Struthio camelus: one gene and its partners. The protein of the gene in region 2 binds, or shares a complex with, the protein of the main gene of each other region. Links are inferred from orthologs where the notes say so. Each region holds a gene or a part of one and is shown on either strand. Other genes may lie near its edges. The genes, in order: DPF3, SMARCD1, DPF1 and ARID1B.

Region 1 (7,619 bases), on a different chromosome or scaffold from region 2:
GAGATTCAGCTAGTGAGAAAAGAGATATGCAGCAAAAGAGGCAAGTTGAATGTAAGGAGTTGTTGGTCATTAATAAGGGACTCCACAGACTGAGCTTACTCAATGTAATGCATTCCCACGGAGGCTCAGATACACTGGAATACATTATCCCGGGAGGACTAGTCTAGCATGAACAAGGCAACATATGTGTCCAAGTGCCTGAGAGAAGCTGAATATTGGACACACTTAAATGCACAAGCACACACAGGGAGCAGCACGATACCTGAGCTGGGATTTTGCAGTCTCTACATTGTCCCCCATCTCAGAGCAAAACCTTTGTGTGGCCAGTTTCTGTAGGGGGCGTCTGTGGGTCTTGAGATATAATCAAAACGCAGACAGAGGAAATGCAAATGTCATTCAGCTCCCTTTCATTGTCAGGAAGGACACATGAGGATAAAATACTGTGCACTGCATCTTTTCCCCTATTATGTGTCCTACTGCTTTTGTCCTAATTTATCCCATGCATAATTTATTTACATGTGTATTGTTTCCCGATCAGCAACTTTAAAGAATAAATGAAAATTATAAAATGTTTTATTAAACAAGTTGTTAATAAAAAATGCAGATGGTGTCAGACAGCCCGTACCAATTCTGCTTCCTCTACACAGCATTAGTACTTTAAAAAGCACGTAGAGAAAAAACGACCCCAGCACTTGATGTCTATTGTTTCCTCCTCTCACACTCCAGGGGTAAGGGGAGGGAAAGGGAGCTAATTATAAAAGGCCTAATCCTGCTCCCTCCGACTTTAGCAGCAGCGGGATCAGGCCCCCCATTCCTTTAAGCGCAAGCACGCGTTTGTCAGGATCCCTCCTCTCCGGAGGCATACTGCGGCTGCTCGGAGCGACGCTCACAGGGATGAGAAGTGCAAACCGCCGCGAAGTCCGCCGGCGGGGCCGGGCCGGGCCGGGCCGGGCCGGGCGCCCGGCGCGCTCCCCGGCTGCGCCCCGCTCCCGCGCCGACGCTCCTTCCAGGGAGCTCCCAGCATCTCACCGCCCTCCCCCAAAGGCAGGCAAGCCCGGTCTTCCTCACTGCTTGTAATATTTACACAGTCTCATAAACGTACGTGGCATTTTACAGCCCAGGTGAGAAATTGTACGTTATGGCTCCGAATATTGCTTTCGTGCAGTTTAAGTTCCCAGCAATGAGCGGGAGTAATCTGCCCTGGGTCTGAGCAACGCACGGCGGGGGAAAGGACATGGTGAGAAGTTGCTCTCGCGGCAGAAGTATTAAGCGTGCCGTCAAATGGGTGGCACGTCGTCTGCTCCGTGCAGTTTTCAAAGCATGTTCAGATCCCCCTCTCCGCCGAAGATACACGGACTGCTTTGATAAACCTTCTGACAGCTGCGCTCCCCTCTTCCCGCAGATTTTTATAAGGCGCTATAGAAAGGTTGGGTAAACGAAAGCAAAGGTTTTCCTCCAGGATGGAGCAGGAGAAATGATAAACCTGTCAGCACCCCCTTTCAGCTCGAGGCTTTCCTTCCCTCCAGATTGCAGAGAGAGCGGCAAGAATCCCTGGAAAAACCGTCAAGTGTTTTTCCAACTCCAGCCGGAGAGAGTTGAGTCGAGGGGGGAAAAAGAGAGAGAGAGAGAGAGAGCGCGAAAGAAAAGAAAAGAAAAGGAGAAAAACGTCGCAGCCCTAATTTCATCCCTGAAAACTCAAACGTATAAAAACACCCGCTCAGTGCAGCCAGAAAGTGCAAACGAAGCGTCACTGCCAGGTACTCTGCTTTCTTGCTTTATTAGCAAGAGCGCTGCCCCCGTTAGCAGAAAAGTCGTTTTAAAAAGGTTAAAGCAGCTCCTCTCCCCACATACAGTGCCAAATCCCACTCTCCCTAATGCCTTGAGGGATTAACGGTGTGTGCTGCAGACCATAAGGAAAATAAAGGACGGGATCCAGAAGACAACTGGCTCCCGCGTTCTTCCTCTTAAATCGGCCTGAATTCGAGATCCGAAACCCTAGAATATTTCTGTAGCAGAAGCACCTGCCCCCTCCCTTACACCCGCACTCTCTCTATTTCCTCAGCAAACAGTTGGCCAAATTCTGTCCGTGCAGACCTTGGCTGTGTGTGCCCACCCTCAAGATGGAAACATAATCAACTCTCTTTGCCACTTTTAAAAGCGAAAGCCTGTCATATGCAAAATAGATCTCCGGACTTCCTGCCCCAAATTAACCACCAGTAATCCCGAGTCATTCATTTAACGTGTCTGTCTCTCCCCCTCTTCCTATCGCTCTCCCTCGCGCGCGCACACACACACAAATCTAATGTAATTGCAATGCCCCTGCTGCCCTGCTTTCACACGGTCCGTGCAACCCCTTTGCCACTGAGCTAAGAAGCGATGTGGCCGATTCGTTCCCCCTCTTTAAGTCAGCCCAACTCTGGAAAGATTTGCGAAAGAAAACTCCGAATTACGGTCGGAGCGCCGAGAAGCCGAGGATTAAGCGCACTGTTTCCGAGCCCGATCCGTCCCCCATCGGACACCGGAGTGGCAGCGGGACGAGCGAGCCCGGACGCCAGGCGCAAGACTCTGTCAAGTGCATGCAACCCCCTCGGCGGTCCTTCGGGATCTTGCCGTTTCCAAGATTCACGCGGTTCCGAAAGCTGCAAAGAGCCCCAACGCCATCCTCCCCTCCAGACCGTGCATCTCTCCGTCTCCCAGACAGCCAATTAAGCAGAACGCAAATGTAACATTTTTCTCGATAATTTCAGCACAAGACATTTATGTGTGTTGCACAAAAAGGAGAGTAGCTCCGAAAGAAAGGAGGGCGGGAGGAGAGATCAGCTGGGAGACTGGAGGCACCTGGCTCTGGCTGGCAGCAAGCATCGGAAAGGCGCCTTTTTTCATATTTAAACCACGCGGAATATGTACATTTTTGATTCCTACTTACGCTTTCAGGGGGTTGTGAATGACAGTCGCCATTTTGCTACAATGTAACAGAATATTGTGTCTCGGAGTTCTAAAGGTTCGCTCAGGGGAAGCGGCCAGCCAATCAGCGGACGGGATACCGGCGCGCCGCCCAATCCCGTCTCGCAGGCGGAGCCAGGGCTCTGCTAGTTATTAGGGGAGCTGTCAAAGCCCAGAGGTCACTCCCTTTCTGTGGAACTGGAAGCGAGCAGGTCTTAAAGGGGCAGCGCACACCCAAGGGGCTGTCACCACACCGAATTAGATTAAGAGGACGAGGGTGGGGGGGAGGACGACACTTTTGCAGTTATTTGGCTCTTTCTTTAAGGAAATCAAGCGGAGAGAGAAGTGTGGGAGGGAAAGCTCGGCTCATTCATTGTCTTTTTGCACTGCCGACGCTGCCTTTCGGTTCCCAAACGGCATGCCCCCTTATTCACGTGCAAAGGTTGGATGCATGCCATTTTAGCAGGAAAACAAATTACATGTGTGCTGACATTTGCTGCCGCATTAGATTCTCAAGCTTTTTCTTGCTATTCCCAGTTAGTTTCCCTTTCTTTCAAGCCGTTCTCCTCTTCAGGTTTCTGGGAGCTGCCGGCGCCCGCCGCGACTCCAGGGCAGCCCCCCCGTCCCCCTCCCCCTCCCCCAGGAATTTCTCAATGTCAGTCATCCAGCTCCTGCAGTCAGTGCACTGGTTACATAATGCACAGTGGCCGAACCCACTGCCTGCTTGTTTTCTCTTTCTCCCACAAAGCAACTTCTGAAGTGATCGGCTGGTTTAGCGTGTTGAGACCTGGTCCTCCGATCTTTCGGCAGAAAGAAAAGGAGGAGGAAGAGCTTTAATCCACGTTTTATAGGACGTTTACTTGCACAGTAAAAGAGCAATTCGGAGGCAGGACTTCTGGAATAGACAGGGTGTAGTTAGAGTCCATTCCTGGGGAAGCAGCGAACTCCAGGAAGTCTGCGCTTACCTGCAACTCATTAAAGGAGCTTGCAAATGAATTATGTAGCACAACCTAAGTGATTTAAGAAGTACCAATCCTGATTCCACTGAAACTCAGAGGCAAATCCAATGAAGTTCATGAAATTATACCAGCATTAATTTGGTATAAACAAGCGCAGAATCAGACTAAGAAGTTTTCCTCTTACCTGTAAGCTTTGTCATGTAATACTTCTCTCTCTCTCTCTCTCTCTCTCAAAGGTCTTGCTTCCCTTCAGGCTTCCTAAAAAAAAAAAAAAAAAAAAAAAGCACAAGCCTGATTCTCCATTCTTTGCATTTATATAATCAGAGGAAACTCAACTAAAGACAGTTAAAACACACTGCTGCAAAAACAGTATAAGAAAGAAGAATAAAGAACCAAGTTTATTCAGAACTTACTGAATAAAAGAATGGAAGTACCTGTGCTTGTGGGGTATTCAGGTGTTAACAGAATTGGAAATAGCAATCTGTCTAGCTAAGGGCTGAATTTAGGAAGACCAAGGATACCAAAACCTGTCTTTTGTTTATCAAAATAAAACTTTCTAGTAAGGAGGCAGAAGAGAAAAAAAAGGGAGATGGAGAACAGAAAGATAAGTAGATGATGAGAGACAGAGAAGAGGGGAAAAGAGCGATGCATCAGTTTCCCATTCATTATGGATACATCAGAAGTTTTGAAAAGTTAAATCTTTCCAACACATTGCCTACTCTGGCTGTTAGGTCAACCTAACTGCTGTGCCAAGTTTATATCCCTGGAGGGAATCATCTCTTCCATCAAAGCAATCTAAGCCATTTGGTTACAAACACTGCTTAGCAGAAATAAGCTTTCTGTAAGCTGGAGAGTTGCCAAGATATTGAGATATATCCCAAAACACAGTTCTGGGAAGCAATCTTTAAGAATGTTTCCATTATCATATTACATTATGTTATTTAATATAGTAGTAGCCCAAGTGACATTGAATGTGACTACAGATACTCCTGTTTAGTACTCTCACACTGTTCACAGGAAAAGCTAACCACAAACTGCCAAGTTTTTGTAAAAATACAGTTGATGTACACACCAGAAAGAAATGAACAGGTTAGTGCGCACTTGAACTAGTGACCCTGGATGTCCTCATTTCTTAATATTACATCCCACAGCCCAGACTGCTGACAGAAATTCTCCCCTAGTCTAAATATTAGGAAACAGTGCTTCACAGTACACTACACAGTGGCAGGTATGAATTACTGCTATAGCCAGGGATTTGTTCAGATACAATTTAAAGAACAGGTACCACAAAAGTAATGATCATATGCAAGAACTAGACTGGAGAAAAAGCATGTAGCAAACCGCTTTAACTATTTGTGCAAAGAATTTATCACGCTCTTTTGGCTACCTCATGTCCACACTGATACTAATCAGTCTCCAGGATTTGTATGTGTGGCCCTGAGAACCTTCAGAAAACGACAACTGTATTTATATGAACTTAGACCACAAAGTGCCTATCTTTGCCTAAAGACCTATATCACATCCCACTACCATGAGGATTGCTCGTTTCACTTTCCTCATTGTCCTGCTATTCACCTGGTGGTAAACATCAACCACATTTTAGCATTTGGTCTAGAATGGGCAATATTTATTTGTGGAATGACAGTTATGCTGCTCACAAAAGAAAAAATAGTCTGGAACGTAGTGAGAACTGGAGGCAGATCTGAGCTACTGAGAGAAGGCAGTGCCACAATTCAGCCAAGCTCTAGAAAGCCCTGATATACTCTAGTGTAAAATGGTGACATTTTTAGAGAATTAGAAAAAAGCTGTTTGAGATCATTTTTAGAAGTTTAATGAGTCCCTCTGGTCCTGTTCACTTGGATATATAGGCCCATTTCTGCTCTGCAGGCAAAGAGCTCTTGGTGCAGCTTGGCAAGGAGCGTATTACAAAGATGGGATTAAAACACGCTCATGCTCCCTTGCTGCTCCCTATTCAGACATTGGGCCTTTATCAGCCACCAGCAACTGCAGCAAATAGTGAAAACAGCCATAGACGGTGGACGGTTGATACTTTTTCTCCTAGTCAGATCCCATATTACTGGCCAGGAGCAGTGGTCAGTAGTACTACCTTGTTCAGAGGAATCTCTAGGAAGCCTAAGGACAAAGCTGCCGTAGCAGAACAGCAGGAAGACTGACATGTGATAACTAAGGCATGAGGCTTTGCTCATCTATCTATATTACTTTCACATAGAGTGCTTCATGTAGAATTCTACAACATTTAGGTTACTGTTTTAGCTGTAAAAAAGGCATGCAAATAAGGAGCACTGAGTGGCATTTTGTTTGTGATGACCTACATAACTTATTCACATAGTCACTCTTTGTGAGTAAGGGGCGCATCAAAAAACCTATGCTAATAAAACTTTTATACCACACCATGGCAGGCTCCATTTTCATATACACACCATTCCATCAACCACTGATCATTTATAAACTAAATTTTTAGGTTCCTTTTTATTCTGGTTTTAGGCTACTCTAAGTCACTAATCAATACTGTTACTGTTGACTTACATCGCACATGAGCCGAACACATCTGAAACACACCCAGTTACATATACACTAAGCTCCGAGCTTTGGATTTTTACATTCCTAGGTAGCTGCTGATAGTTTTATTCAGACCCAGCTGAAGCATACCAAGGAGGCTACAGGAAAATAAAAATGCTGTTAAAATATTAAGCACTAGAAATTTAGGTGGGCATACTTTTAATGAAAGGTTCCCAACTGTTTGGGCAGGCAACATTTAAATTTTAAAAGGAAAGGTAGATTTTGACATAAAACTATTACATAAAAATCTATGGCATTAACACAAAGCCTAAACATTCAGGCTCTAAGGGGCTAGAGAGAACAAGGATTTTGAAGGTGGAATCCACACCCTCATATCAGGTCTGATATACGGATCTGCAGTTTGTCTCTACCCAAGTAAAAGAAAAACAATGTAGTTTCTTTCCATTGTATTGGAAAGTGTCATGTGTCATGGATCATACTGCTACCCTTCTGATCCACCCCTATTGAAAACATTGTTATGGTCTACATAATGCAAGTGCATTGCTATTTTCTGTGAGGTGTGAAAAACGTTGCTGCTCACCCTGCAAAGCCTTATTTTCACTGAGGACCCTTGTCTGTGAAGGGGTTTTACCCTGTATGTATAGTCTCATGCTTTCCCTTTTGTCTTGTTAACTTTTAACATACAATTGTGTTTTCTAGAGGGAGGAAAGATTAGATTTTTACTTTCACTCCACTCTTGTGAATTGGAAAGTGAAACAAACTACACACTGACACGCCAGCAACTTGTCTAATTCTGCAATGGAAGAAAATACAAAATAAATAGTTGTAAGTCTACCAGAAGTCACATGCTTTTTGAGCTTTAATATCCCCAGATATGTCTAGTAATATGCAATTGTATTTTGTTCAAACATATTAATATTCAAAGGACCAGATTCAGATAAGGCGTAAGTATGACTACACGCTCTGTGACAGAAGCTCTCCTATCTTTGGGTTAGAGCAAAACAGGGCCTCACATCCACAGATATCATGCAGTAGATTCGAAATCTTAACCCCTTTTTATTTATTTAAAGCTTTGCAGGCATCTCTCATGCACTGCTTCTCGTCAGCCTGCCTCCTCATTTTCTTTGATCTTTACCAATAGTTGGGTTCACTGAAAGAGGAGGGAAAGATATCAGA
Region 2 (7,856 bases):
CTCCCGCTCATGGGGGTCCTGGAGCTTGTGGGTCTTAATATATTGCCACAATGCCTGGATGATCACTGGACGGGTCTGAGTGTGGATCCCCAAGAGACGAGCCAAGCGGGGATCCAGTTTGAACTGAGGAGGCTGAAACAAAAAGCACAGAAAGACGAGATAGGAACGCGGTGACAGACAGGGCTCAGCAAACACTACCGGCCCAGCAATGTTGTTCCAAACAGCCTACCTGGTAATCGAGCATCAGGAGGACAGTACAGCGCACATTTACATCTCCCGGCCTCTTCACCTGGAAACCATCTGTCTCCTGAGTTGTAGCAGTCCTGTGCCACTGGGGGACACAGAACAGGAGAGTGCGTTCAGTGGCACCCCTAGTCTTTGTTCCCTTTGCTCCTGCTGGGTACCCAACATGCTTGCTGGTAACCCCCACCCACCTACAGAGAGTTAGTCTCATTCCCATATATAGTTTGAAGCAAGAGTTAATGCACTTGCTCAGAGCCCCAGCAAGTCAATGGAAAAGCTAAGATAAGACTTCAACAGCTCCTAGCTCCCAGCCACTTGTTCAAGCCACCACTACCTCTCGAGACATGAATGACATGCAAATTCTGTCTGCTGAACAACAACCCACTTTTAGAGATAGTGCAGCAAAAAGCAGCTCACCTCTACCAGGTGATTGTCTGGGCCATACAGGTCTTTATCAAGTTCAATGACCAGAGATTTAAAGAAGGATGAGAATTTTCTTTTCTGTTTGGTGGCATCATATTTGGACAAAGCAGACTGCAAGCAACACAGGAAGGGTGTTAGGAGAGCTAATCTCAGTACTCGGTGGTGGACCTAGAGCCCCAGTTAGCTTCTTTTAACCGGAGACATCAATGCTTGTCTCTTTCCCTCCCCAAAGGGGTTGGGTGTCTCACACTCACGTCTTCCAGCAGCCTTCCTTCTACCCGAAGCTCCCAGGAGGCAACTGTGCCTTCACCATCCTCTGCATCTGACTTGGCTGGGTTGAAGGTATTGGAGATAAAAATACGTAGCTTTCGCTTTTGCTAAGAGAAAAAGCATCAGCTAAATGTTAATTTTGAAATAAAGGATCAACTATATTATGTTTTGCTAAAACTAAGAGGTTCAGTATCCTTATCTATTTCATATTCTACCTCTCCCAGGACGGGCAGCAAGGAAAGAGGAACATCAGGCCTTCCTGGCTCTGCTCCTCCGTTGGCATCTGGAGTACTAAGGTTCCTGATACACTGTGCTTACAGCGACAGGACCCAAGTTTCAGTGCACTCCTGCTCTCTTAACTAAGGTAAGAGTCTCCAGTCCTTGCTTACAGTAACATTGAACATAATCCTCTCTACCTTAATGGGTCGCTTCAAGGCCTCTTGGATATCCAAGCGTTTCCGCATGATCGTCTGGTCCAATTTCCTTTCGAAGGCCAGTAAGTCCATATAGGCCTGAGACTCAGGTACAAGTTCACGAATCTACAGCAGAGCACAAGCCAATCAAGAATGCAAGTCACCGTTAACTCCCCCACACTTCTCCGATCTACTGCATCTCAACAGAAGCTGCGAAGGCACATGCCACTCACCCTCTGAGGTAGAATTTTGTCAGCCATCTTCTTCTTTTTAGCGCTGTTAAGGAAGGAGATGCACACACACATGCATTAAAATGGCAACCACTCTGTCCTATGTAACTGCAGGCATTCGTGAAGGGCGTGAGGATGACGGGTTATTCTCTGGTTTAGTGCTGCAGCATTAGCAGTGCTCTTAGCCTGGGTGCCAGCCGTCAGTCCAGCCTCTCATTTTCAGAGGCACTTACTGCTTCCAGTCCCCACACGCAGGCAGGCTCTTTACTCCCCACAGCCCCTGCCCCACGAGGCAGCCAGTGCTGCAGAGCTGACAAACGCTGCAGCACCGTGACTAACCAGTTACCTGAATGCTTCGCGTCCCCTCCGAGAGCTCGGGAAGTGGGGTTACATCATGTTGAAAGGGGCATGCTGACATAATATCGGGCCAAAGTGACTCTCAAGCCTAATTTAGCTTCAGTTTGACATGCTTTAAACCAAGAAATGAGTTAACAATGATGCTAAGGCTGCCATTATACTGCCAGAAACGTAACAAGCTTGCCCTTGTCTAGCAGCTGCACATTAACGCTTTTATCGGCTGGAAGCTCCCCTCTCCCCAACAAGTAGCTGCCCAAGGAAGCTCAAGTCCCTTTGAGCCGCCCAACAAAAAGCGGCAGTGAAAAGCCCAGGCACGGCACGAAGGCAGCGCGCCCCAGACCCGCCGCAGAACAGAAACGCATTGTGCTGCCGGGAGCAGCCCCCGCAGAGCCGTGACCGGGATGTCCCCAGATCCCGGGGCACGGCAGAAGAGGGGGGCGTCACCGGCAAAAGCCTGCACCCCGGGGGGGAGCGGGGGGGCTTTAAGGGAGGGAAGGCGTCCCGGTGGCCGGGGGTGCCCCGGTGGCCGGGGGTGCCGCTCCTTACTTGTGGTTGCGGTTGGGCACGGCTTGCGGCTGCACCTGCTGGAGCTGCTGCGGCGCCGGCCTCTTGCGGGCCTGGTCCAGGCCGGCCTGCGCCATACCGGGCCGCACCGCCGGGCTCCCGCCGTAGCCCGGCGGCCCCATGGAGGGACCTTGCGGCGTCAACCGGCTACCCGGGAGCATCCCGGGGCGCTGCGGAGAGAAAGAGACCGGTTCCAGTGCCCGCCGGGCGGCTCGGGGTGGGGGCAGTGCCCGGCCCGGCCCGGCCCGGCCCGGCCCATCCCCGCCCCGCCCCGCCCGGGCCGCCCCGGATAACGGCGGCCGCCGCCGCCGGCCCCTCCCCCGCCTCACCGGGTAGGCGGCTCCCGGCAGCGGCGAACGGTACAGGCCTTGTCCCGGAGCCGGGCCCATGCGCACCGGCCCACCCGGCGTGCCCGGCCCCAGGGCGGCGGCCCCGGCGGCGGCCCCGCCGCCTCCGCCGCTGGGAGTCACCGCCTGGAAGCCCGCCCGCGCCGCCATCTTCTCCCAGCACAAAGGGGAGCGGGCCGGAACCGGACGCCGGCCATAGAGAGCCCGCGCGGGGCGTCGAGCTAGAGCGTCGCCGCCCGCTGCCGCCCGCCCCCTGCCGCCTGGAGGTCCGCGCTGCCGGGCCGGGCGGAGGAGGGGGAGTCTATAGGGGCTCCATGGGGGGATGCAGGGGCTGGGGGGAAGGGTGCTGGGGCCACGGGGGGGCGTTGGGGGGCTGTGAGGGGTGCAGACTCCATGGGGGGTCCATGGGGGGATGCAGGGGCTGGGGAGGAGGGTGCTGGGGCCATGGGGGGGGACCATGGGGGGATGCAGGGGCTGGGGAGAAGGGTGCTGGGGCCATGGGGGGGCTCTCAGGGGTGCAGAGTCCATGGGGGGATGCAGGGGCTGGGGAGAAGGGTTCTTGGGCCATGGAGGGGGCGGTGGGGGGCTGTGAGGGGGTGCAGAATCCATGGGGGGATGCAGGGCAGGGGAGGAGGGTACTGGGGCCATGGGGGGCAGTGGGGGGCTGTGAGGGGTGCAGAGTCCATGGGGGGGTCCATGGGGGGATGCAGGGGCTGGGAAGAAGGGTGCTGGGGCCATGGGAGGGCAGTGGAGGGGCTGTTGGGGGTGCAGAGTCCATGAGGGGGCTATTGGGGAGGGCTGTGTGGGTCTTTGGGGAGGGGTGCAGCATCTGGGAAGGGTTGGTGGGGGATGGGGGGGTCCATGGAAGGCCATAGGGAGGTGCAGGTGCCATGGGGTGTCCATGTGGGGCTGTGGGAGGTGCAGGGTCTAGGGGGCTGTAGGAGGGAGCAGGGACTATGACGGGTCCATCAGGGTGCAGGGTCCATGGGGTGCTGTGGGGGGAAGGGTGCAGGGTCCATTGGGAGGCTATGGGGGGTGCAGAGGCCTAGGGGTGTCCATGGGGCGTTGTGGAGGGGGTGCAGGGGCCATGGGGAGCAGTGTCCTTGGAGGGGGCCTAGAGATCTATGTTTCTTTTATTTTCTTTATTCCCTTTACGTCCCTCCAGCTCACAGTTTGCTGTATGTCATCCCCCTTTGTCACCATCTGTACTGTCACGGAGGGGTGTCTGGGGTGGGAGAGGCAGCTCTGTGTGCCAGGGGCTCTGATATCCATAGAAAACCACCTGTAAGACACTTTCCAGCTCCCTAAGCCCTTAGGCTGGCAGCCCCTGAGCTCGTCTACCTGCCTCAGCTGGCAGCACACCTTGCTCTGATCTCCTCTGCCCTCTTCCAGCTGGGCTGGTTTCCCCTGCAGCCCTCAGGGCTACTGTGCAGGAGCTGCTAGAGCCGGAGCTGCTCTGGGGCTGAAGGGGGTTGGGGTATGAGTCTTGTGCTTGGCTGGCTTTTGACGGTAGCGTTGGCTCTTACAATATCTACCTGTTGCAGGAGATGCTGGTCTGGTCCTGCAGCCTCTCTTGCCCTGGGGTGTGCCCCGAGGAAGGTTGCCTTGCCTGCGCCCCGGAAAGGAGGACTCTGAGATGCCAAAGTGGCGGTAACGCCTCTCACTGGAGCTGCTGTCCTTAACATCTTAAGAAGTAAGCATGTGGGGGCATAAATGGATGTGCTTTTATATCGGTGTGAATATATATGTCTGCGTCAGTATGTTGTAGCTGAAAGACTTCGTCTAGATGGTGATAATACTCCACAGAGGTACAAAGTTATCCGAAATAGCTCCTCACAAGGTCATGCCAAATTACTCTTTGCATATGGATAAGTGTGAGTTAATGGAGGGACTTGGAGGATGTTCAGAATGGGATTTCTGAAAGTGATTTTTCAAAGGCTGGAGGCAGAAACCTCCTCCCAGTACGTAGGGTTTGAACCTCGGTGGTGACTGGATAAAGAGGGGGACTCGTGAGTATAGACCACCAGGTTTCACTGTGGGTTCTGCCACTGATCAGGTAGCCGGGGCCTTGTTTGTTCAGGTTTAGGCTGAACAGCCAGGTAAAGGGCTCCGATCTCCCTCAGCAGCGGCTTGGGCTGCTACAGGCAGCACAATGTTAGATTTAAAGGCCACTTTCTGCAAGTATTAGCATTAAGCTCCCTATTCCCTAGAGCGCTTCCCCTTGTGGTTGCTCAGAGAGAAAAGGGACATAAATGCAGCCAACGTTAATTTGTGGGGGAAAAAAACCTAGGTGAACAGTCACATCACAAGCACTAATTAAACAATTAATGATCATGGATCATTTAGGAGGATGTCCTGTACAGTGCATGGCATTGTCAACTGAGCAAAGAAGTGGGGATGTGTTGGTACCTTCTCTGCCAGATACGGTATTTCCTACCCTCAGTGCTTTGAGCACAGCCTATTAACTGTTGTCTCAGCATCCGTGTGTCCATGCAGTTAATTTAATGCCACCTCTGACAGGCTTGGCGCCCAGCTGCCTTATGAAATATTCATGGGGAGGAAAAGCAGCGGAACTTATCTGCTCCGTATTGTTTGGATGCAACTTTGACTGAGACTTAAAGCCTGGCAGGATGGCAGGAGCCTTTTGGGCAGGCTGGAACTGCCTGGCTCTCCTGGGAGAGACAGAGTGAGGAGCTGTGAAAGCAGCAGAAAGCAAGGGCTAACCTGAGAAGTGGAGAGAGGGAAATGGGAGTCAGATAGCTGCTCAGTTTGGCACAGGGAGCTGCAGGGTCTTGAGAGCCCCGGTGTTGCTTGAGCTGAGCTGGGAGCAACCCCAGCTCTCTGTCCCCTGTTATTAGCTGTATCCCCTAAGAAACACCTTCCCCCTTGCCTGTGCCCTGAGGGTTTGGTTGGTTCACTCCTCCCAGTGGAGATGGTTTGTGTGATGCTACCCCGTGCACCTTGGTTTTACTGCACCTGCTGGCGCAAGGCAGCTACTCTGAAACCTTCCTCCCCAACCCGTATGGCTCTGGCTCCAGGCAGCCAAGCAGCATCCAGGACTGTGTAATTATATCTCAGCGCCTGTTTCTGCTGGCAGCTTTAGCACTGAGCAAGTGGTAAGCGGGAATTACTGCCAGGGAGGAAAGGAGGTGATGCTATCTCTGCCATGGTTTTATGCATCCTGCATGATTAATCCTTGCTCTGTAGGGTTTCAGCAGCCACACGATCTGCGAGGTAAACACAGCAGTGTGCAAGCAGGTGCTTCCCAGCGTCTCAGGCCTAGGTGTGTCACATCTCATCCTCACGTAGATCATCAGAGATGCTTCCTGCGACGTGTAATTAACTGTCTTGCGCGCAGCATGAATCTCGTGCAATAATATTGAGTGACAGACGTGGATGAACACGCATGCTGCCTTTGCTACGCACCTTGCAGGCTGCCAGCCTCACGCAGTGCACCCATCCGTGCACCACAGCCCCCCTCAAGGCTCCCTGGCCAGCGGACACTGCCCCGGCATGCTCTGAAGGTGCACAGCTCGCTTGCGCAATGGAGCCTTGAATATGGAAACATACAACCTGTGCACTTCGTAACAGGGCTGCTCACATTTGTGTGCTGTCTGGCTACCTGCGGTACTCCCAACGTGCTCCCGCGCCCAGCTTCTGGGATGGGAACTGTCTTGGCTGTGCCACCTTTGGGTCCAGGCTGTGCCTTGCAGCACAGACACCATTTCGAGCGCAGCGGCAGAAACGGCTCTGCCAGCCGTGCTGAGGCTGGGGATGTTCCTGCGCAATGTGAGGCTGTGACAGATGGAGGGGGTGACCTGCTCCCAGCAGGGTTAATGGGGAGCTGCGAAAGAGATTACAGCCCTCAGCACCAGGGCTGCTGCCTGCCCCCTGCAACAGGAGCTGCTGTGAATGCCACTGCGGAGGGAGCACGCGTGGTCAGCTGCCCTGGCTACTCAGTGGCTGGTTGCAATTAATTTAGGTTCATTAACTCCCTTCTGGCAGTTAGCTATATTATCTTGTTCCTATTCAAAGCCCACCCTGTAGCCTATGCAGCACCGGCTCTGGCAGAGAAGGACCAGAGTAGCAGTAAGTCAGTTCTAGTTTAAATGCAAAACACCCGGCTGCCATTTCCAGGAGCAACAGGGGCATGACCAGAGCCAAGTGACCAGAGGGAGTTTGGCATTTCAGTATTCCCTGCCCACTCACTGTTATTCAGTCTGTGTGGGGTCCTGAGGGCTTTTTCTGATGCACAGTGTTGGATCTGGCATGTTACTTTTGCTCTCTGCAGCTGGAAATCTTTAGGACAGAAACTGTGTTTACATATGGCTTGTGCTACAACTGCTACTAACTCTGTTAAATTAAAAGCAGGTGAGATCCAAGCCAGTGACTCATTTCTGCTGAAACTCAGGTGTCTGTCCCAAACCACAAAAGTGTTAGAGTTGTCAAGGATTAGCAGCTGTGCGTATGTTAATTCTCGTCCCCCCTTGGGAGCAAAAATCAGTTCCCATCCTCCAGCCCTGACGTGTCCTCACGTGGCAGAGCAGGACCAGGCAGCGACACTGGAGCTCGCTTAGGTACCAAGAACAATTGCCACATTAGCACAGCAAAGCACGCGTTTGAAGACTTCATGCAAGTCCAGACTACAGCTTTATCCTTTCCCCCAGCCCTTCCTTCTGGCCTCAGCTCCAGGAGTTCAGCGAGACCTTCAGGAGCATCCTGGGATGGTGCTGTCCCCACCTGCCTCCTTGGGGAACGTTTCCTGCAGCTCGGTGAGAGAGAAAGGCTCAGTGTTCATGAGTTATATCATTCTTTATATCATTGTTAAGAGTAGCAGGTATTGATGTACAATGCATCTGTCATCTTATTGTGCTTCCTATGAAAATGTGTGTACATAGTACAGATACCAGAGAGAATTCAACACTTTATACACTTGAAGGCATTCAGAGATCAGTAACAGAAAAAAAATGGCACAAGAACAAGGCCTAAAAGCTACTAGATGGGTATCT
Region 3 (7,828 bases), on a different chromosome or scaffold from region 2:
TTGCGCCGCCGGGGCCGCTCCGCCGCTCGGGCACGGGGAGGGGGCGGCGGGGTTCAGCCCCCGTTTCCCCCCCGCTCCCCCCGCTGCCCCCTCCCCGCCCGGCCCCCCCCGCCCGCCCGCCGGGCAGGGTCCCGCAGCGCCCCCCCACCCCGCCGCCACCCCGCGCCCCCCCCCCCGGGTCCCCGCCGGCACCGGGAGGGCGGCGGGGGGGGGGGGGCGCATGGGACTACATATCCCGGCATGCCGCACCCCACGGCCCGCCCCCCGCCGGCCCCCATTGGCTGAGGGGGCTGCCAGTCACGGCGGGGGCGGGGCAAGATGTTGGTGGAGGGGGGGGGCTGCTGTTGGGGGTCGTGGGTCCCTCCCCTTCCCCGCAGGGCTGCACCCAAACCGGGTCCCGCCCCCCCCCCCGGGTGCAGGGGACCCAGGCGTCCGGGGCTGCCAGGGATGCTGACCCCGCCCCCTTCCGGCGGGATCCCCCCCCCGCCGGCTTCATCCCCCCTCAGCGTCCCCCCGCGCGTCCCCTCCCGGCCACCCCCAGCAGCAGCCCGAGCGGGACCCCGCACACGGCTCGCACACGCCTTGCACACGCGCCCGACAGGCCACCCGCAGGCGGACCCGGCGGGTGTGCACACACGGCCTCGCGGGTGTGCGCACACCTTGACGGGCTGTGCACACGCTGCATCACAGGTGTGCGCACACCTCGATGTGTCATGCACACACGGCCTCGCGGGTGTGCGCACACCTTGACGGGCTGTGCACACGCTGCATCACAGGTGTGTGCACACCTCAATATGCCATGCACACACGGCCTCGCGGGTGTGCGCACACCTTGACGGGCTGTGCACACGCTGCATCACAGGTGTACGCACACCTCGATGTGTCATGCACACACGGCCTCGCGGGTGTGCGCACACCTTGACGGGCTGTGCACACGCTGCATCACAGGTGTACGCACACCTCGATGTGTCATGCATACACGGCCTCGCGGGTGTGCGCACACCTTGACGGGCTGTGCACACGCTGCACCGCGGGTGTGTGCATGCCTCAACAGGCTGTGCACACGCCACCTTGCATGTGCGCACGCACACACGCGCACACACACACGCGCGCACACACACACACACACGCGCACACACACACGCGCACGCGCCTCGATGGGCCTTGCACGTGTGGCCTCACGGGTGCACATGCACCCTGTGCACAGGCCGCTCCCGTGTGCACACACCCTGACACATCATCCACCTGTGCCCTCGTGTGTGCACACACCCCAACAGGTCACCGCATGCAGCCTTACCCACAAGCACACGCTGACGCGCAATGCACGTGTGTGTCTTTCCAACAGGTTACCCGCACACAACACCTGCACACGCATGCGCACACCCGGCTGGTGCACAGCCCCGCAGACGCACGGACACGCGCCTCACATCTCTGCCCCCAGCCCGCACGCCCTGGGCTTGACACGCGCCCCGGACACCAGACTCACTGTGCACCCCCAGACGCGCTGAGCACCCCCGGACACCCTGGGCATCCTGGACACCCAGATGCGCTGTGCACCCCCAGACACCCTGAGCACCCCAAACACCCAGCCTCGCTGTGCATCCCCAGATGCGCTGTGCACTCCCGGACACCCTGGGCATCCTGGACACCCCCAGACACCCTGTGCACCCCCAGACACGCTGGGCACCCCAAACACCCAGCCTCGCTGTGCACCCCCAGACACCCTGGGCATCCCCAGACACCTTGTGCATCCCAGGCACGCTGTGCACTCCAGACACCCCATGCACCCCCAGACACGCTGGGCACCCTGTACACCCCCTAGACACCTAACGTACCCCGAACACCCCAGGCTCGCTGTGCCCACACCCCAGACACCCCAGGCTTGCTGAGCATCCTTGTGCATCCCAGATAGCCTGTGCACCTTGGACAGCCGAGGCTCACTGTGCACCCCAGACACCTCATACACCCCAAACACCCCAGGCTCGCTGTGCAGCACTGTGCACCCCAGACACCCCAAACACCCCCGGGTCAGTGTGTATCCCCATGCTCCCCCAGACACCTCGTGCACCCCCGTGCACTCCAGACACCCCTAACTCGCTGCACATCCCTGTGCACCCCAGACACCCAGACATCCCGTTCTTCCCTTGCACCCCAGACATCCCATGCACCCCGGACACCCCCAACTCGCTGCGCATCCCCGTGCACCCCGGACACCACCAGCTCGCTGCGCATCCCTGTGCACCCCAGACACCCCAGACACCCCGTGCATCCCTGTGCACCCCGGACACCCCTGGCCCGCTGCACATCCCTGTGCACCCCAGACACCCCAGACACCCCGTGCATCCCTGTGCACCCCGGACACCCCTGGCTCGCTGCACATCCCTGTGCACCCCAGACATCCCAGACACCCTGTGCATCCCTGTGCACCCCGGACATCCCATGCACCCCGGACACCACCAGCTCGCTGCGCATCCCCGTGCACCCCAGACACCCCAGACACCCCGTGCATCCCTGTGCACCCCGGACACCCCTGGCCCGCTGCACATCCCTGTGCACCCCAGACACCCCAGACACCCTGTGCATCCCTGTGCACCCCGGACATCCCGTGCACCCCGTGCACCCCCGGCTCGTTGCACATCCCTGTGCACCCCGGACACCACCAGCTCGCTGCGCATCCCCGTGCACCCCGTGCACCCCCGGCTCGTTGCACATCCCTGTGCACCCCGGACATCCTTGTGCACCCCGGACACCCCCGACACCCTGTGCATCCCCGTGCACCGCGGACCCCCACTCCCCGGCTCGCTGCGCACCGCTGTGCACCGCGGCCAGCCCGTGCGCCCCGGGCCCCCCCCGGCCCCCCCGGCCCCGGCCGCGGCCGCGGCGCCGCACTCACGATTTCAGCGGGTTGTGGACGGCCGTGGCCATGCCCCCGGCGCGGCTGGGGCCGAGCAGCGCCCCGGCGCCTCGTTCATCCTCCGGGGCCGGGGCCGGGGCCGGGGCCGGTGCGGGCGGCCCCCAGCCCGCCCCGCGCGCCCCGGCAGCCTGGGAAATGTAGTCCCGGCGCCCCCCGCCCCCCGCCCCCCCCCCCCGCCGCCGCCGCCGCCGCCGCGCCCGGCACCCCGGGCACCCTGTGCACCCGACCCAGAGACCCCGGCGGGACCCTGCCTGCACCCAGAGACCCCGACGGGACCCCGACGGGACCCTGTCTGCACCCAAAGACCCTGGCCGGACCCCGACGGGACCCTGCCTGCACCCAGAGACCCCGGCGGGACCCCGATGGGACCCCCGACCTGGCTGGGACCCCGGCGGGACCCTGCCTGCACCCAGAGACCCCGGCGGGACCCCGATGGGACCCCCGACCTGGCTGGGACCCCGGCGGGACCCTGCCTGCACCCAGAGACCCCGACGGGACCCCGACGGGACCCCCGACCTGGCTGGGACCCCGGCGGGACCCTGTCTGCACCCAGAGACCCAGGCTGGGACCCCCGATGGGACCCTCCAACCCACCCAGCACCCTGGGCACCCTGTGCACCCGACCCAGAGACCCCGACGGGACCCCGATGGGACCCACAGACCTGGCTGGGACCCTGATGGGACCCTGCCTGCACCCAGAGACCCCAGCTGGGACCCCCAATGGGACCCTGCCCGCACCCATAGACCTGGCTGGGACCCGTAACGGGACCCATAGACCCCAGCCAGGAACCCGATGGGACCCTGCCTGCACCCATAGACCCAGCTGGGACCCCATTGGGACCCTGTCTGGACCCAGACACTCCGATGGGACCCACAGACCCGGCCGGGACCCTGACAGGACCCTGTTCGCACCCATAGACCCCAATGGGACCCCCGTTGGAACCCCATCTGGACTCAGAGACCCCAATGGGACCCCTGCCCGCACCCATAGACACCGGCCAGGAACCCAATGGGACCCATAGACCCCGATGGGACTTGGACGGGACCCTGCCCAGGCTCAGAGACCCCGACTGGGAATCTGGTGGGACCCTGTCCAGAGCCAGAGAGCCGGCCAGGAACCCAATGGGACCCTGTCTGGACCCATAGACCCTGGCTGGGGACCCACCGGGACCCACAGACCCAGCTGGGACCCTGCCTGGACACACAGAACCCAACCAGGATCCCCAATGGCACCCATAGACCCCACCAGGACCCCCGCTGGGACCCTGCCCAGACCCCACAGCAAACAGGGTGCTGGGTGGGGGAAGGTGGCGCAGCAGGGCCAAGCCCCCCCAGCCCCCCGACCCCCCTCTGGACTCCATCGCACGTGGGGAAACTGAGGCAGGACAAGGCCGGGGGGGGGGCTCGGCTCTGCCCCCTCCCCGCAGCCGCGGCCCCTTTAAGCACTGGCAGGGATCCCTGCAGGTTGCCACGGCAACTGCGAGTGATCCAGTTCCTTATGCAAGATAAGGCGATAAATATATATATATATATGTATGTATGTGCATGCATGTGTGTGTGCGTGTGCCCGCGCGTGTGCACGGCCCGGCGCGCAGCCGCGGCCCGCAGCGCGCCCCGGCCCCGGGTACGAAGCGGAGGAGCCTTTATTCTTAGTACTGTCGTTTCTGAGATACAAAAAATCTGGAAATAAAGATAGAAAATCCCGCGGCCCCCTCCCGCCGCGGGTACAATCGGAGCTGAGGTAACGGCGGGCGCGGAGACGCGGGGGCGGGACGGCGCCGTGCACCGGGGCCCCCCCCGCACCTTGCACCAGGGCCCCGTGCACGCCTTGCACAAGAGCCCTGTGCACCTTGCACGAGGGCCCCACGTGCATTGCACGAGGGCCTGCACCCGCCTTGCACACCCTGTGCCCTGGCCCTCCCCTGCCTCGCACACATCACACCAGAGCCCCCCCCGCACGCCTCGCACGGGGGCTTCACGCACCTGGACCCCTTGCACGCTGCGCCCCAGGGCCCCTGCCCGCCCCACCCCGGCACCCTGGTGCACCTTGCACGAGGGCGCCGTGGCCTGGGGCGGGGGCCAGCCGCCCCACGCTGGCTCCCCCCAGGCCCATGTGTGGGGCAGGGGCTGCGGTGGCACCGCGGGGGGAGAATGCCCACTTGGGGCAAAAATTGGCAGTAAAAGCAGCGCTGCTGGCTCTGACCGACGCGAGGGGGGGGGGGCGGAGAGCGCAGGGTCACCCCCCACCAGCTATAGTGGCCCCTCGAACTAAAAGGGGAATATATTTATATATATATTATATTAAATTAGAGGAAAATACAAAAATCTGCTTAAGTTAAAAAAAAAAAAAAAAAAAAAGCAAGAGGATTTGGAGAGGTGAGCGGGGCCCCCCCACCGCAGGGGTGCCCCCCGCTCTGCGGCTCTCCTTGGTCCCTTGTGTCCCCGGGGCTGAGGGCAGCCGAAGGGGGGCCATGGGGGGGCCCAGATCCCCCCCAAGCCTGGTCCTGCCTCCCTCCATCCCCCTCCGAACCCCACAGCCCACCCTGGGCCCTGCTGGGGGGCACCGGGACCCCCCTCGGCCTCACTAGAGGGCACTGGAGACCCCGGGACCCCCCCTACCTTGCTGGAGGGCATTGGGGACCCCTGGGGAACCCCCTGGTCCCTGCTGGGGGGCACTGGGACCCCCCCTGACCTCGCTGGAGGGCACTGGGGACCCCTGGGGAACCCCCTGGTCCCTGCTGGGGGGCACTGGGACCCCCCCGACCTCGCTGGAGGGCACTGGGGACCCCTGGGGAACCCCCTGGTCCCTGCTGGGGGCACTGGGGACCCATAGCCTCAGGGAGGGGTGGCACTGGGACCCTCCCCGACCTCACTGGAGGGCACTGGGGACCCCTGGGGAACTCCCTGGTCCCTGCTGGGGGTCACTGGGACCTCCCCAGCCTTGCTGGAGGGCACTGGGGACCCATAGCCTCAGGGAGGGGGGGCACCGGGACCCCCCAACCTGGCAGCGAGGAGCCCCCCGGCCCCCCGGCCCGCGCTCACAGCTCGATCTCGAAGGTTTTCTGCACGTCGTCGGCGAAGGGGTTGGGGGCTGGGGGGGGCTTGGACTCCAGGGCCGCCCACTGCACCTCGAAGGGGTCCGGGGGGGCGCGGGGGGCGGCGGGCGGGGGCCGGGCCCCCGGCAGCCCCGGGGCGAAGGGGCTGGCCTTGGCGGCCAGCTCGGCGGCGGGCAGGGGGGCCGCGGCGCAGAAGGCGTTGGCCACCATCTGCGAGGGGGTGATGCCCACCACCGGCACGGCCGGGGCCGCGAAGGGCAGCGCCGGCGGGTAGGTGCCCACGGGGACGAAGGCCGGGAGGAAGACGCCGGGGGGGGCTGTGGCGGGGGCTGCCTCGTAGCCCAGGGGGTAGGGGGGCACGGCGGGGGGCACGGCACCCGCTTGCTGCTGCTGCTGCTGCTGCGCCTTGGCCGTCTTGGAGACCTCCTCGAGCCACCGCTCGGCCTCCGAGGGGGTGCGGCGGTGGCCCGGCTGGAAGGGGGGGGCCCCCGCGGCCGCCCCCTCAGCCCAGGACATGGGGCCTGCAGGGAGGAGGAGGAGGGATGAAGGGCATGAGGTGGGGGGGGCTGCGAGTCGCGCGATGCACGACACCGCGGGGGGTTGGCATGGGGCTCTGCTGGCGGGGGCTGCTGGGGGGGCTGCTGGGGGGGCTGCTGGGGGAGATGTGGGCACCCCCCACGTTTGGGGGATGCAGGTGCCCCTAGCCTAGGAGAGGGATCTAGGTGCCCCTTTGCCAGGGGGGGATGGGGGTGCCGCCACGCACAGCGGTTCATGGGTGCCCCTATTCCCGGCGAGGGACGCAGGCACCCCCATGCAAGGGGGGGGATGCGGGGGCCCCGATGCATGGGGGGATTGGGATGTCCCCATGCAAGAGGGGGGATGCGGGGGCCCCGATGCACGGGGGGATTGGGATGCCCCCATGCAAGAGGGGGGATGCGGGGGCCCCGATGCACGGGGGGATTGGGATGCCCCCATGCAAGGGGGGGGATGCGGGGGCCCCGATGCACGGGGGGATTGGGATGTCCCCATGCAAGGAGGGGGGATGCGGGGGCCCCGATGCACGGGGGGATTGGGATGCCCCCATGCAAGGGGGGGGATGCGGGTGTCCCGATGCATGGGGGGGGACGCGGGCGCCTCCATGCATGGGGGAAGTGGGTGCCCCTATGCAAGGAGAGGGACGCGGGTGCCCCCGTGGACGGAGGAGGCCGGCCGGCCGGCTGGGGCGGGGGTACCTGCGAGACCCCCCTCTGCGGGGGGGGTGGCGGCGCCGTTGGGGGCCGCGATGCCGAAGGGGTCCCCGGGGGGGCAGGCGAAGGAGGCGTCGATCTGGCTGCAGAGGTCGTTGATCCCGTCGCTGTCGCCGGGGGGGCTCGACTCCAGCTCCAGCACTTGGCGGGGGGGAGACGGGACACGAAAAGGCGTCGGGGGACCCCGAAAACCTCAGCAGCCCCCAGAGGCAATACCCAGGGTGTCCCCCTGTCCCCCCCACCCCAGGGTGCCGCCACGCGCCCCCTAAACGCGGGGTCCCCCCCGCCCCCGGCCGCGAGCCCCTCACCGGCGCCGCGGGCCTGGAAGCTGTCCTTGCGCTGGAGGGTGGAGGGCAGCTCGTTGAGCCGGAGCGAGAGCTGCCGCTTGAAGGGCGAGTTTTTCTGGCTGAGGGCCGGGAAGCCGCGGAAGGAGCCCTGGCGCACGAGCTGCTCGAGGGGCGCGTGGCGCCGGGGGATGGCGTGCTGCGCGCCCCCCCCCGCCGCCCCCTCCGCCGGAGACGTGGCGGCCGGCGGCGGCGAGGCGCTGCCGGGCTGCGCCGGCGCGGGGGGCTCCGCCGGGGCCGGGGCCGGCGCGGGGGCCGCCTCGGCTGG
Region 4 (7,748 bases), on a different chromosome or scaffold from region 2:
AGGAGCGGGCACCACCTCGCCGCCGCGCCCCGCGGCCCGGGCGCCGGCAGAGCGGCGACCTACAGCGGCGCGACTCCACCGGCACCGCCTCGCTCCCTACCGATTTAGGGACTTATCGGGCCGAGCTCGTCGGGGATGCGGCACGTCCGTCAGGGCCACGCTGCGATCTCTCGCAGCGCCCCGCGCCCGTTTGCTCCGCGCGAAGGACCTCTGCGGTCTTCCCACCGCCTACGGATTTTCGCGTGCGTGTTGGGGAGAAAAAACACAGTTATTCGTGCACGTATTCACTTCGGGCACGCTCCTCAGCGCCGTGCCACTCTTGTAAAGGCTGCTGGACTAACGCACGAGAACAGAGCACTTCACGCACCTCGATGCGTATCGCACGAGCCCTTACGACTACGGCGCATATACATACACACAGGGCACACACGCACGCACACACACACGCACATACACACTCTTCCAACAGAAAAAGGAACCCGGCTGTTTTCAGCGGATTTCACTGCGGTAACTCCATCAGTGACAAACTAATTTGCTAAAAGCATGCTCCACAGCAACTCATCCTGTTTCCAAAAAAAAAAAAAAAAAGGCCCTGCTGTAAGATAATGAATATTATTCTCCAAGAACCCACTGGGTCTGACACTCTAGTTACCAAATCCCTCTTCGTCCCAAGCTGCTTTTCCTCTGGGCCCTGCGCCTCTGCATCGCTATTTCAAAGTGGAGGGAAAATTGTTAATTGGGTTTCAGAACAACCTAATTTTCGGCAGTGAAACCAGCACTCCGATGCCTCCAGCCTAATTGGGGCCGCGTATTGTGCGCCGCTCGCCCCGGCTACGGAGGCAGCGAGTAGCTGAATTGGCCCAGAGGGGGGAAAAAGAAAAAAAAAAAAGAAAGAAAGATAAGGAAAGGTGGGGGGGGGGAGGAAGGAGGAAAGAGTAAAGAAAGCAAGAAAAGTGAATTGTACAGCAACTAAGCGGCGGGCAGGAGCCGCGCGGAGGCGGGAGCCGTCCCGGGTCCCGCGCGGGGGGTTACCTGGGTCCTGCTGATGGTCTGCCCGGTGTTTCCAGGGCTCATAGCCGGGTGGTTTCTTTGTTGCGCCGCTGCCCAGGCCGGGTTTGCGGCTCCGTACTGGGAGCCCATGTCTTTGCCCATGCCCATGCCCGCCGCTGCCTGCTGGCTGCCCGGGGCGGCTGCCGCTGCCTGCGGCTGGGGCTGCGGCGGCGGCGGGGCGCTGGGGCTGCTGTAGTCGGGGTAGCTGCTGCCGTAGCTCCGCATCATGGGGCTGGGGGAGGTGAGCAGCTGGTTCAAGGTAGGGGTGGCCCCGGACGGGTGCTGGTTCTGCCCGGAAAATCGCTGGAAGCCGCCGGCCGCCGCCGCCGCCGCCGCGCCGGCAGCCGCCTTGCCGAGGCCGCCGCCGCCGCCGCCGCCGGGGCCCATCATCATGCCGCCGCCCGGCTGCCGCGGCGAGCTCAGCACCCCGTAGCCCGCCGAGGAGCCCCCGTAGCCGCCGCCGCCTGCCCCGGCAGCCGCCGCCGCCGCCGCTGCCGCCGCCACGGCTCCCGCGCCGCCGCCGCCGCCGCCGCCGGGGCCCCGGCTGTAGCCCGGGTAGTGGTTGTACTGGCTGTTGGGGTAACCTTCGTGGGAGTTTTGCAGGGGGTCCATGCTGTTGGGGGCCGCCGTGGGGTGCATTATCCCCATCCCGGGGCTTTGTTGTCCGCCATGTTGATCAAAGCAAGGCCCGGCGCGGCTCGCCGTGGCGCTGCCGGCAGCGGCGGGGGCAGCGTTGCCATAATAGCTGTTGAACTCCGCGACACCCACCGCGGAGGGGCCGCCGCCGCCGCCGCCGCCGCCGCCCCCGCTCCCGCCGCCGCCGAGGCCGCCGCCGCCGCCGCCGCTCCCAGCGCTCTGGGGCGGCTGCTGGGGCTGCTGCTGTCCGCCCAGGGGTCCCAAGCCGGGGTGCTCGTAGCGGCCGCCGATGGGCTCGCCCATTTTGCCGGGCATCTCCTCCTCGTCGGCGCTTTTATTCAGCATTTGCTGCGGCTGCTGCGGGGGCTCGGCCTGAGTGCCCAAAACACTGTCTTTTCCTCCATGTTGCTGCTGCTCCATGTCTGCACTGGGCTGAGCAGCGCCGCCACCGCCACCGCCGTTGTTGTTGCTGCCGCTGCCGCCGCCGCCGCCGCCGCCGAGGCTGCTGTTGTTATTCTGCATGGGATGGTGCTGAGGCGGCGGCTGCTGCGGCGGCGGCGGCGGCTGGAATTGATTTAGCTGCTGCTGTAGTGCATGGTGGTGGTGGTGCGGGTGGTGGGCATGGTGGTGGTGGTGGTGGTGGTGGTGGGCATGGTGATGCGGGTGGTGGGCATGGTGGTGGTGGTGGTGGGGCGGCGCGGCGGGGTGATCGCCTCCGACGCTTTTCAGTTTGTGGTTGGGGAGCAGCCCCGTCTCCATGGCCGGGCCCGGGTTGGAGGAGGAGGAGGAGGAGGAGGAAGAAGAAGAAGAAGATAACGCCGAGGAGCTTCCACCTTCCTTCAGAGCCGGCTCCGAGGAGGAGCCGCCGCCGCCGCCGCCGCCGCTGTTGTTACCGGTGGCAGCGGCAGAAGTTGCGTTATTGGCCATGTTCAGCGGCTCGCTGTGGTGCTGGAGGAGATGGTGATCTACATTATTCAGGCTGCTGCCGCCGGTGGGAGTCCCGTCTCCGACCCCCAGCATGGGGCCGGGCCCGGGAGCCCCCGCGGCGGCGGCGGCGGCGGCGGCGGCGGCGGCCCCGGCCCCCCCCGGGCCCCGCTCCGGGCCCAGGCTGCCCGGCAGGCTCGGGGCTTTGCCCTTGCTGTTGTTCGCACCCGCCGGAGCCGCTGCGACTTGCGCGGCCATGATCATTGCAACATTGCAAGTCCGGAGAAATTATTAGTAGTAAGAATTAAAAACAAAAAAACAAAACAAAACAAAACCCCTTACCCTCCAAAAAAAAGGGGGGAGGGGGGCCAGTCGGGGGGAGGGAAAGGAGAGGAGAGGGGCAAAAAGAGAAACGGCTGGGGGAAAGAGACGTAACTGAGCCAACAGTATCCCCTGCGGATCACTCCACACGCACAAAAATTACAGAAATTTCCCTCCCCGAGTCCGTGATTGAGATTAGAAATGGTAAGAATGCCTTACGGTCTGTGCCTGTTCCTGCTGTGTGATTTCATGTTGAAAGTTTTTTTGTTCAGGTTTAAATGAAACTTTTTTTTTTTTTCTTTTCCTCCCTAACCCGGATATGGGTAAATACACGTCTGACTGAGCCTATCTGGCCCAGCATGGCATGAGCGAGCGAGCGAGCGAGCGAGCCCCAGCAGCCATCGCCCCCTCCGCGCCGAGCGCTCCCGCGCACTCGCAAAACGCGGACTGGACTCGGCGCGGCGCCGGCTCCCGCTGCCGCTGCCGCTGCCGCTGCCCGCCGCGGCCCCGGTGCCGGCACGCGCGGGCGGGCGCGCGGGGCCGGGCGGCCGGTAGGAGTGGGGGGCGCGGCCCCCTTCGCGCCCCTGCTTAGATTTTGGTGGGGTTTTTTTTTCATTATTATTATTATTTATTTTCGTCATTTTCTGTGCGCACCCAGGGCTGGAGCCGGGCGCCGGCTCTGGGATCAAGTTCCGCGGAGGAGGCAACCCCATGCGGGACTCATGTCGGCCGAGGCCTCGCCCCAACGGCGGCTCCGGCCCGAGGCGGCCGCGCTGAGGCGCCCGGCCCGGCCCGGCCCGGCCCGGCGGGGCTGCCCGCGGGCGCTCAGCGGTCGGGCCCGGCCGGGCCGGGTAGACGGGGGCAGCCCGCACGTTGCCGGTGCCCAGATTGGCTGCGCTAAATACATAGAAATAAATGGGTCAAACTTTGAAAGGCTCTAGTCCTCTGCCCTTGAGTCCGGGATGTGCCGCGCAAACGCATTTTCATTTTACGCGGATGACAGGGAAATCCTGTCATCCGTTTCATGGAAAAATAGGATGCTTTTTTTCTCCCCCCTCCCCCCCCCCCGGGAAGATTTCTGTTTTTTTTGCAAAGGGTTATAAAATGTAACCCAAAATTCTGCGGCAGTAGCATCTTTGCAGTTGGCCACGTTGCCCAGCTGCCTCCAGACTCTAATGGTCATTGCACTGATGATGCTTTTATACATAGGGCTCTTTTCAGTATGTTCTGTGTGCTTATTTGCGGATCAACAGGAGCTGGTCAAGGGGAGTGAGACGTTTTGAGCCTCATAACTGTTTCCCCAAACAATATAATTTCTAGTATGCACAAAGCACTCATGAAAACCTAGTAATACAAAATATGTAATCAAAGTAACTTTTGCTCCAAATGCTAAACTGTTGCTGCTGACCTACATTTTTGTACACTCTTTCAGAATGTGTTGGAGGGGTTTCTATAACTATCTTAATAATAACTTAGCATTAGAAAAGATAGTAGTCATACACTACATTCAACTAAGAAAAGCAGTGGGAAAATCAAATATTCTGCACAAACATAGCAAACTGGGACGTTAATGAATGTTTTCAATATAGCAAGGGTCTGAAATACGCTGTTTTAAATGAATTGTTCTATGTGCTCTGTTAGAGATGACCGTGCTTTCAAATTTCAAAATAGATAAATAGGAAATTCAATAGGAATGATAGAGAAAAATACAGTATACCAAGAAAGATGCTGTCACAAGTAGGTAGGCCTTTTTTATATCCACTGTGAAAACATTAAAGAGCAGAAGCTTCATGCTCTAATGTTGAATTACATGCAAAGATTATTGATAAATGTGCAAACAGTGTGATTCCAGTGTCTATTCATTTTAGCTCTGTCTGAAAAAGTCAGCTATGTTCTGATTTCCATTAGGGAGTTAGTTTTTTAAAGTCTCAGTGTTCATCAAGTACATCTTGATAATACTTCTATTACAATCATATTTTTCTTCGTTTTCTCTTTTGGTACTCTGTGCAAGTGCGAAAATGTTATATGGCTAGTAGAAACAGAGTGGGAAAAAAAACGGTGAGTAATTCTAGTGGGGAGAATCAGGTGCATACCCAAGGGTCATTACAGTCTGTAACAACAACAAATTGCAATTCTATGCAAACTGCTAGAAAGGGGTATATCATCTTTGTAGGAGAGAGAATAACAGAACTGTAAGATGAATTCATGCCAAATCATTCATCAGCTTTTGCCAAGAGAATACTACATCTTTGTTAGTGAGCCTTTTTGACATTTTCTCCTGGATTTTCTTCTTTTCTATATTCAAACGCACACTAATTATACACATTAAACCACATAAGTTGATTTTTTGAAGTCTTTCATATGCAAATATAAATATAGATGTCTACTTGTGTGTATTTATTTACATGTGTACTCTAAAATAAAATAAAAAATCAATTACACATTTATACTTTGCGACATTTATATCCAAGCAAAAATATTTATATTTAAAATCTGATAAATGTATTGACCGTGCCTCCGTTGAGGACTGCAGTACTTCCTGACATAGTCCACAACTCTTTCTGAACAGGAAAATAAGCCACAAAGTTTTAACGCAGATTTACTTCAAGACGTTTTTCCTGGGAAAGAAAAAAAAAAAAAGATGAAGCTTAGAAACTGAAGAGTTTATGCTACTAACTCCTTTTCCTTCCATTTGTTTCAGCAACGAGGCTGGCTACGAGATTGGATCTAAGAGGCTATAAAATTGAGGCCCTCAGCACAATGAAATCAGTCTGCTATAAAAGGCAACACATGCCAGTTTTTCCTCCCCAATGGCAGATGCCACACCCTAAAGCAGACAGAAGGCACTGCAGTCTGTGCAAGGGAAGCACAACACAAAGCAACGATGGTTCAATTTTTTAGATCACAAATAATGTTGAAATTCCCTTTGCCATCTTTGCTCAGATGATGAGTGGTAGTGTTTGTTAAATTCAAATTCTCCCTTCCAAAAGCTCTCATTATATGTATGAATTATGAATTTATTGTAATAGAATGTAAAAAAAGCTCTAATTGTCATGCATATAATCTGCTGCAAAATGATTGCATTGATATTTAATATCGCAAGTGCGTAGTTTCAACTTTAGTTCAATTTTCAGTGTTTCTTCAATTTAATTGTTTTCTATAATGCAATATTGTCTAAGCATGGTTTCTTTTTCTTGATTTTTTCCTGATAAATTATAAACTCCTGTGTTCTGGGATAACTTTCCAGGATAAACAATATAATTGTCTAAACTTACTGTTGTTTACTTATTACATTGACTATGACATTTATACAGACACCCTAAGCTGTCTGTGCATAGCTTGCCAGTATGGAAGTTAGATGCGTTTCACAGCAGTAAGGCAAACATCTTTCTGTTTGGTCAGAACAGTGGCTTTTAGATCATATAAAGAGTAACGGTAAAGAGATATACAGAAAATAAAACAATATTTTAACAGCATGGAGGCGTTATTACCTTTAGAGATATCGGAATAAACAGCAATATTGTGCTTTTTGATTTTTTTTTTTCTGTGAGGTAAGAATCCAGTCAGAGCATCAAGACCCTGTTGCATCTGACCTAATACCCACAAAGGTCAGAAAAATTCCTTCATGCAAAAATCCCTTTTGTCTGGTTCTGGTTGTGCTGTATGCTTAAATTCACTGTGCAGTTAGATGAAACAGTTGTCAAATTCACCATCATTCTCAATTTCCTTCTTTCAGATTGGCATTAGGTTTAATGAGAAAAAAAAGAGAGAATTGAGATTTTATTAAATTATCACGTCTTTTACTAGTTAAACATCCAATCCAAATCATTCTGAAGTCAGTGCAAATCTTTTAATTGATTCCAATAAGGAGGCATAAATCAGATCACAGAAAAGTATGTAGCCAGGTCAGTGCTTTAGCTTTATGCTTTAGCTTGGTATTTGGTGCTATAGTAATGCGATTTTCCTTTTAAGAAGACCCTTATGTGGTCAATATATAGCAAAGTAATATTTTCTTCATCGTATGTTATTTATTTTATATTTCAGACATGAATGTAATATGTAAGCTATTACAGTGGATACCTACCTGTTAAGTTAGGTGTAAAGGCTATATGTAAGTGCGATAATTTTATTTTAGCTGGTCATAATAGACAATGAAAAAATACAGTGTACGCCAACAGACTGTGGCCTAAAACGTGTAGAGAGTGACACGTTCTACCAGGTAATTAAAATCTATTCTTTAGCAGACACTAATTCTGGGCAATGTAATCAATTTCTTCTGGCAATGTGTAAACAAAAGGACTTAGAAACATCACCATCTCCATCTCAAGAATGTCATGTATTATTTTATCATGGAATTGTAACATTAGCAATTTTTTTCCTTGCTGGTTTTAGGCCATTTGAATACAATGTTTGAATACCTCAGTTTTACAAATGCGAATCATCCACTGAAGTCAATAAGATCACTCACTTGCTTAAAGTTAAGACCTGATTAAGTGCTTCTGTGGACTGAGGCCTCTAGGAAAAACAGCTCTTAAGTCTGTCCTTGGTGAGATATCAGCTCAACCCATTTTGTAAATCAAAACAAAATCTTCCACTTGGCAGTAATAGTAGGTGTTGTTGATTCCAGGTCTACCCACTGATGAAATCTGAACCTTTAAACTGAATTTTAGCCTAATAATTCAGGATCCTATATCATTGTTTGGGAGCAGCATTATATTTTGGAGAAACTTAAGGAAAGGCCAGCTTTCCTTTAAACTAATAATTTATCGTCATTATTTATAAATTAGGAAAATTAAATGAGATTTAGTGCGACAGTA

What was found.
Region 1: SMARCD1 (region 2) and DPF3 share a complex: the UniProt entries of both Homo sapiens proteins name them as parts of the BAF complex. The link is inferred for Struthio camelus from reciprocal best matches to the Homo sapiens genes SMARCD1 and DPF3.
Region 3: SMARCD1 (region 2) and DPF1 share a complex: the UniProt entries of both Homo sapiens proteins name them as parts of the neuron-specific chromatin remodeling complex. The link is inferred for Struthio camelus from reciprocal best matches to the Homo sapiens genes SMARCD1 and DPF1.
Region 4: SMARCD1 (region 2) and ARID1B share a complex: the UniProt entries of both Homo sapiens proteins name them as parts of the neuron-specific chromatin remodeling complex. The link is inferred for Struthio camelus from reciprocal best matches to the Homo sapiens genes SMARCD1 and ARID1B.

The regions. Positions count from the first base shown.
Region 1 is NC_090946.1:43,565,659-43,573,277, reverse strand, and holds the start of DPF3 (zinc finger protein DPF3), read right to left. Parts: upstream 3,003-7,619; 5' UTR 2,959-3,002; coding exon 2,927-2,958; intron 1-2,926. UniProt on the Homo sapiens protein: Belongs to the neuron-specific chromatin remodeling complex (nBAF complex).
Region 2 is NC_090969.1:1,483,781-1,491,636, forward strand, and holds the start of SMARCD1 (SWI/SNF-related matrix-associated actin-dependent regulator of chromatin subfamily D member 1), read right to left. Parts: upstream 3,013-7,856; 5' UTR 2,998-3,012; coding exon 2,830-2,997; intron 2,671-2,829; coding exon 2,483-2,670; intron 1,626-2,482; coding exon 1,583-1,625; intron 1,476-1,582; coding exon 1,353-1,475; intron 1,044-1,352; coding exon 921-1,043; intron 778-920; coding exon 661-777; intron 332-660; coding exon 230-331; intron 133-229; coding exon 1-132. UniProt on the Homo sapiens protein: Involved in transcriptional activation and repression of select genes by chromatin remodeling (alteration of DNA-nucleosome topology).
Region 3 is NC_090957.1:571,224-579,051, forward strand, and holds the start of DPF1 (zinc finger protein neuro-d4), read right to left. Parts: upstream 3,014-7,828; 5' UTR 2,926-3,013; coding exon 2,894-2,925; intron 74-2,893; exon of another isoform or gene 1-73. Other genes in the region: NUMBL (numb-like protein), read right to left, coding at 5,952-6,490, 7,202-7,357, 7,525-7,824. UniProt on the Homo sapiens protein: May have an important role in developing neurons by participating in regulation of cell survival, possibly as a neurospecific transcription factor. Belongs to the neuron-specific chromatin remodeling complex (nBAF complex).
Region 4 is NC_090944.1:78,519,929-78,527,676, forward strand, and holds the start of ARID1B (AT-rich interactive domain-containing protein 1B), read right to left. Parts: upstream 3,011-7,748; 5' UTR 2,875-3,010; coding exon 1,033-2,874; intron 1-1,032. UniProt on the Homo sapiens protein: Involved in transcriptional activation and repression of select genes by chromatin remodeling (alteration of DNA-nucleosome topology).